Linked DNA regions of Coturnix japonica. Each later gene encodes a partner of the first gene's protein in a complex. Links are inferred from orthologs where the notes say so. Each region holds a gene or a part of one and is shown in the gene's direction. Other genes may lie near its edges. The genes, in order: ANXA2 and S100A10.

Evidence for each region.
Region 2: the proteins of ANXA2 (region 1) and S100A10 are in contact, whole or in part, in a crystal structure (PDB 4FTG), measured with the Homo sapiens proteins. The link is inferred for Coturnix japonica from reciprocal best matches to the Homo sapiens genes ANXA2 and S100A10. Residues at the interface, in NP_001002857.1 of Homo sapiens: Val4, Glu6, Ile7, Leu8, Lys10, Leu11, Ser12, Leu13; in NP_002957.1 of Homo sapiens: Phe39, Gly41, Phe42, Asn45, Gln46, Ala51, Lys54, Ile55, Leu79, Ala82, Cys83, Tyr86, Phe87, Met91.

What each region holds. Positions count from the first base shown.
Region 1 is NC_029525.1:4,218,162-4,220,670, forward strand, and holds part of ANXA2 (annexin A2), read left to right. Parts: intron 1-7; coding exon 8-67; intron 68-402; coding exon 403-496; intron 497-842; coding exon 843-938; intron 939-1,918; coding exon 1,919-1,977; intron 1,978-2,509. UniProt on the Homo sapiens protein: Calcium-regulated membrane-binding protein whose affinity for calcium is greatly enhanced by anionic phospholipids. It binds two calcium ions with high affinity. May be involved in heat-stress response.
Region 2 is NC_029540.1:2,466,866-2,471,427, reverse strand, and holds S100A10 (protein S100-A10), read left to right. Parts: upstream 1-1,556; 5' UTR 1,557-1,680; intron 1,681-3,496; 5' UTR 3,497-3,553; coding exon 3,554-3,685; intron 3,686-3,872; coding exon 3,873-4,034; 3' UTR 4,035-4,072; downstream 4,073-4,562. UniProt on the Homo sapiens protein: Because S100A10 induces the dimerization of ANXA2/p36, it may function as a regulator of protein phosphorylation in that the ANXA2 monomer is the preferred target (in vitro) of tyrosine-specific kinase.

The sequences.
Region 1 (2,509 bases):
TTTGAAGGGCAAAAGATGTGAAGATACCTCTGTGATTGATTATGAACTGATTGACCAAGATGCTAGGGTAAGTGTTAGTAATGGCCATTACATGTCTTAAGTTGATTAAACTTTGGGGGATATTCAGAACGCAAATACTGTGAAAAGGAAAAGAGTGTATGAAAGCAGATGTGTGTATTTCAGATCTCTCTTGCTTAGCAACATGTGAATGATATCAAGGTATCTGCTGTTTGCAATCCTGATACCATTTTTCATGGGATGCTTACCCACTAGTGTCCCAAATGTGTGTCCTTTTGCGTGTCCCCCACTGACACAGCTCCTGTAGTGCTATTTTTCAGTAAGGAAATGGTCTGTGTTTGAAATGGCTTTTTGTGTGACTCGTGATTTTCATTCTTTACCCAGGAGCTCTATGATGCTGGTGTCAAGAGAAAGGGAACTGATGTTCCCAAGTGGATCAACATTATGACTGAAAGAAGTGTGCCACATCTGCAGAAAGGTACAATTTAAAAGACAGGTTTGCATTTTATCTCCTGTAAGAAGTGGTAACTCTTTTGTTTCACACGGCTTTCAACTAAGTGTGAAAAGCAATCAAAGAAATGTTATTCACACGCAAGTTGCTACAATTTTTTAAGTATCCATGGATATGTATAGATGTCTTTATTTTTACACATGTGCAACCACCGTTTAATGGTATGTCATGCACACTGAGAAGAAAAATGTTAGAAATCTAGAAAACAGGGCTGCATGTTACCTTGAAAGATCCTTTAGCTTTTTATTCTTTTTTTTACTTTTAATCATTCCTAGTTTGGTTTTGATGGGATCTGCTTTCTTTCTTGTAACAGTGTTTGAAAGGTACAAGAGCTACAGCCCATATGATATGTTGGAGAGCATCAAGAAGGAAGTTAAGGGAGATCTGGAGAATGCCTTCGTTAACCTTGGTGAGTTACCATAAAATAAAGACTGTGTTTAAATAGTGTCTTTTCAGTGCTCTTGTAGTGTGCTGTGATGAAAATAGGCCCAGCTTCCTCTGTATCACTAGAGGAGAAGGAAACTGGAAAGGCAGGTATTATTGGATATGTTTGTGTATTTCAGGTACTGAGAGGTGTCATACTTTGTCCCTCTGCAAGATATAAATCTTGCTTTCCAAATGAAGAGAAAAATGCACATGTTCTGTCATCTGTTGTTAGTTTCAATTTTGTCCAATACTGAAGCTTAATGCTTGTTTCCTCCATATAAAAAAGGCTGGAACTCTCTCTGTGCACATTAATAATTCAACATGGATAGACTGGAAAGCAAGCAGTGTGTGTGTGAGGGAGGACAGGCTGTGGAGGGAACCATAGACTAAGAAAAGAGCTAATTTTGCTCTGAGTTCTCTGAATTAAGGGTAAGTAAGGTGGGGAAATAAGGTTGGACTGGCTGCTATTGTGGATGAGATGAGAATACATGGGAAGCTGCCAGGTTTCACAGGATTTTCTTTAAGAGAAGAATCCATTTCAGGCTAAGGGAGAACCAAGCTGAATAAGGCTAGTGCAGAATCAAGACAGCTCAACCTTGAAAGGGACACTTCTCACCTATTAGCATACAATGAACGTTTTCAGGAAAAAAAGGTTGTTCATAGAAGTGAAAAATGGACTCAAGAGTGAATTGTGTGGAGGAAAGTTTGCCTTCTGAAATTATACTAGCAACAGAGGGCAACGTTTCCCAGATTGCAAGCATTCGTGCTTCGATCACAAGTGCAGCCAAACAATTCCTAAATAACAATACAGGTAGAAACAATTTCTCTTTGCCCCTTTTTGGGGAAACGTTTGGAGAATACCTTATTTTGACAGCATACCGTGCCTTTAAAAGGCTCCGAGATTCTGTGTTCTATTCTTCCATGTTCAGAATGTTTACCCATCTATCATCTCTCTCTCTTCAGTTCAGTGCATTCAGAACAAGCAGCTGTACTTTGCAGACAGACTCTATGATTCCATGAAGGTAAGAGAGATTGTGCATTCTACTCATTACCTTCTAACCATTGTTTCATCAGATTTTTATCCCTTAGATGGTTTTATTGGTTTTACTCATATGATGTGTAAATGGCATGTGGATAAAATAACGATGGCCTTGTATTATTCACAAGCATTCTTTAATAGCTTAGCTCATAGGCTATCTATTAATAAGCATCTGATATATAGAAGTACAGGGGAGAGTCATATAATAATTATCTTCATTAGATCAGTTGATCATAATTACCAAGGTTAGATGTATCTCTTGTAGGTGGACACAAGCTGATAGCAGAAAATCTGTTTATTGAAATGGAAAAATAAATAACTAAATTTGCCTCAAAACATTTTATTGAGAAAAGCTATGAAAGAGAAATACGTGATTACCATTAACATGAAGACCTCCTGGAGAACCAGAACTGTGGCTTCCAGTCTAAGTAGCTAGATTGGTGTCTAGAAGTTAGTCAGATATCACTGGTGAGAGAGGTACGTTTGTGATCAAAATCCTGGATCACAACAATGAC
Region 2 (4,562 bases), on another chromosome or scaffold:
TGTTGGGTGAGGGCGGGAGGGGGTGTGAGGAGGCGCCGCCATCTTGAGTGGGGACAGGGGAACAGAGAGGGGGCAGCGAGGAGATGGAAGGGGATGGCGGGGGTAATGGGGGGGAGAGGGTCAGCTTTTGGGGCGGCCTTTGGGGTGTGCGGTTGGGATGTGGGGAGTGGGGGTCATTTGGGGTAAGGGTGGTCCTGGGGGGGAGGGGGCTGAGAACCGGGAGAGCCCCATAAAGGTCCCATTTCATTTCAGGTCCCATTTCACTTCAGGGCGTTTTTTATTGGGGGGGGGATTAGAGCAGCCCTTCAGTAATGAGCTGCGCTAATTGAGCCGTGTCTGCGTGGGCAGGTGGTGGCACAGCGCCTGCTGGGTGCTGCCAGATACTGGGTGCAGATAGAGGTGATGGAGGGCACCTGCAGTATCATGGGGGTGAATTCAGCCCCAAAGGCATCGGGGCTGCTCTCAGGGGGTCACTGGCCCCTGCCCCAATGAGAGCCATCGCCCCATGTGCAGCCCTGTCCCCCTGCATGGCTCTGTCCCTGCAGGTGATCCTGGCCTTACAGGTGTGATCCTGGCCCTACAGATGTGATCCTGGCCCTATAGATGTGATCCTGGCCCTAGAGGGGATCCTGTCCTTACAGGTGTGATCCTGGCCCTGCAGATGGGATCCTGGCCCTGCAGATGGGATCCTGGCCCTACAGATATGATCCTGGCCCTGCAGGTGATCCTGGCCCTAGAGGGGATCCTGGCCCTACAGATGATGTTGGCCCTATAGGTGATCCTGGTCCTACAGATATGATCCTGGCCCTAGAGGGGATCCTGGCCCTACAGGTGATGTTGGCCCTACAGATGCGATCCTGGCCCTGCAGGTGATCCTGTCCCTAGAGGGGATCCTGGCCCTACAGATGTGATCCTGGCCCTACAGGTGATCCTGGCCCTACAGGTGATGTTGGCCCTATAGGTGATTCTGGTCCTACAGATGTGATCCTGTCCCTGCAGGTGATCCTGGCCCTACAGGTGATCCTGTCCTTACAAGTGTGATCCTGGCCCTGCAGGTGATCCTGTCCCTATGGGTGATGCTGGCCCTATAGGTGATCCTGTCCCTATAGGTGATGCTGGCCCTATAGGTGATCATGGCCCCAGATGTGCTCCTGTCCTCCATGTCCCCATACACAGCCGTGACTCCAAGCGCAGCCCTGTCCCTACAAGTAATGGCCGTGTCCCCAAAAGAAACCCACGTCGGTCCCTCAGTACGTTCCTGTCCCCAAAGCTGTTTCTCACAGCTCTCAGTGCCCACAGCTCCTTGGTGGCCCTGTCCCCAAGTGCAGCCCCGTGCCCGGGGTTAGGGCCACATCCCTGAGCCAGGTCCCTAAGAACGGCCCTGATCTTAGGGATGGACGGGCCTGTACCCAAAGGCGGCCTCGTCCCCAGGCGCCCCCTCCCCAGCGGTGCTCCCCTCCCCAGGAGCCACCAGGTGGGACACGCGTTCAGGTGACACATAGTGGCCGGGGGGGGCTGATAGTGGCCGGGCAGGAAGGGGTTAAGGCTGAGCGCTGCGGGCGGGAGCGACTGAGTCAGCCCCAGGCCCCCCCCGGGTCCCCCCCCCGGGGCGGTCCCGCCCCCTCCGTGCCTATCCCGGGCGGTGCCACCGCCCCGCAGTGCCCCGGTCTGCGCCGTGCGGTGAGTACCGACCCCCCCCCTCCATAGGACCTCTCCATAGGACCCCCGCCTCATTTGGGTCCCTTGGAACCCAGCTCCTCCAGGCATTGACCCGCAATGGGGTGAGGACCCTTTATATAGAGGACCTCCCTACACCCTTAGAGAGAAGCCCTATTCATAGAGGATACCCCCGTCCCACCCCCTCCATAGCAGTAACCCTGCTCCATCATAACCTCCATCTGGAGGGGGGGGGTCCCATCCTGCACCCCCCCCTCTTAGGAGGTCCCGGCTCTTCCCCTCACCCCATATCACCCCACAAAGCTCGGGGTCCCCCTCATTCCCTCCCCCTTCACTCCATAAACTTTGAGGGCTTTCCACCCGCACATCACCCCATAAGATTTGCTTTCCCCCCCCCCTCCCATACACTATCCCATCACCCCATAAACTTTAGGATCCACCCCCACCCCCCCTTGAGATGCTGCAGCTTTATTTCTATTTATTTACTTATTTATTTGGGGGCTGTTGGAACAGGGGAGAGTTTAATGCAAAGGTTGGGACTCTGCCATTATTTTCCACTTGGGGTGGGACCCCCCCCTCCTTCCTTTTCCCCCTTTCCTCTTCCCCCTTTGCAGGTATAGAGGAGTGGTCCCCAAAACCAAACTGTGTGTCCCCCCCCTCCCCAAAGCATTAAAGCTGAGCCGGAGGGACACCCCAACGCCTCACCCCCAGGGTGGAGTCTCCATTCCTGCAATGGAGTGGGGGGGGGGGGGAGCAGCTTTGGGATGTGCCCCCCCCATCCACGATTGTAGGGAATCCAGGAGGGGCCCCACCCTGGGAGGAGGCGCCGTGACTCAGTGTGCCCAGGGCGGGGGGGTCCCGAGGGTGTCCCATAGGGAAGACCGGGGCGGGGTGTGTGTGTTGGAGGGGGGGGTTCAGAGGAGGGACACCGCAGCACATCACACCCGGCCCCGCCTCGCGGCCGTTGCCCGGAGCTGAGTCACCACGATGGGACGGAGGGCACGGAGCCCCACACACCCTATGGAGCCCCACACACCCTATGGAGCCCCACACGCCCCTATGGAGCCCCACACACCCTATGGAGCCCCACACACCCCTGTGGAGCCCCACACTCCCCTATGGAGCCCCACACTCCCCTATGGAGCCCCACACGCCCCTATGGAGCCCCACACATCCTGTGGAGCCCCACACACCCCTGTGGAGCCCCACACTCCCTATAGAGCCCCACACTCCCCTATGGAGCCCCACACACCCTATAGAGCCCCATATACCCCTATAGAGCCCTACGGAGCCCCACACACCCTATAGAGCCCCATACACCCTTATGGAGCCCCACACGCCCTATGGAGCCTCATACACCCCTATGGAGCCTCATACACCCCTATGGAGCCCCACACACCCCTATGGAGCCCCACACACCCTATAGAGCCCCACACACCCCTATGGAGCCCCACACACCCCTATGGAGCCCCACACACCCTATGGAGCCCCACATACCCTATAGAGCCCCACACACCCCTGTGGAGCCCCACACACCCTATGGAGCCCCACACACCCCTGTGGAGCCCCACACACCCTATGGAGCCCCACACACCCCACGATGCCTGACACGCCCCACAGAGACCCTCTGAAGCTCCATGGAACCCCACAAATCCCTTCTGACCCTGCTTCTCCCCATGCAGACCTGCAGACCCTCCTGATCCCTTCCAGCCCCTTTAGACTCTACTAAACCACGCAGACCCCAGTGAGACCCAACTGGACCCTTCCAACTCTGCTGATCCCACACCTTAGACCCCACTGTATCCTTCTGACCCCACAGACCCCACTGAGACCCTCACAGGACCCTGCTGACCCCACAGACCCCACAGCAGCCACCATGCCATCCCAAATGGAGCACGCCATGGAGACGCTGATGTTCACCTTCCACAAATATGCGGGTGACAAGAACTACCTGAGCAAGGAGGACCTGCGTGCCCTGATGGAGAAGGAGTTCCCCGGATTCCTGGAGGTGAGAGGTTGGACAGTGGGGTCACACTTACCCCACAGCCCTATAAGAGCTGGATACCTTGAGGCGGTGGGGAACAGAGCAGGGTCACACCTACCCCAGGGTTCTATAACCTGGAGGAGGGGAATGGGGCACAGTGGGGTCACAGCACCTACCACACTATGAGGTGCTGACCCGCTTCTGCCCCCAGAACCAGCGTGACCCCATGGCTCTGGATAAGATCATGAAGGACCTGGACCAGTGCCGGGATGGCAAAGTGGGATTCCAGAGCTTCTTCTCACTGGTGGCTGGACTGACCATCGCCTGCAACGACTACTTCGTGGTGCACATGAAGCAGAAGGGGAGGAAGTGAGAGACGGCCCCGCCGCCCCAATAAAGTGTTTTGTATGACCCTGCTGTGGCCTCTGCCTTGGGGTGGGTCATCACTGGGGGGTTCCCATCCCTGCATCCCCGTCAGCACCGGGTCCCCATCGCCATGGGAATCCCAGGCACAGATCCCCATCGCTGTGGGGTTCCCATCCCCATATCCCCATAATCAGCACTGAGTCCCATTGCTGTGGGGTTCCTATCCCCAAACCCCCTTCGCTGTGGGGTTCCTATCCCCATATCCCCCATAATCAGCCCTGAGTCCCCATGTCCATGGGGTTCTCATCCCCAAACCCCCTGTGCTGTGGGGTTCCCAACCCCATATCCCAATTAGTCAGTCCTGAGTCCCCATATCCCCATAATCAGCAACCGAGTCCCATTGCTGTGGGGTTCCCATCCCAACCCATCACTGTGGGGCTGCCCATCGCCCATCATCCCCATTAAATCAGCAACCGAAAGTCCCATCCTCTGCTGAGTCTTTCCATCCCCAACCCCCTTCACTGTGGGGTCCCAT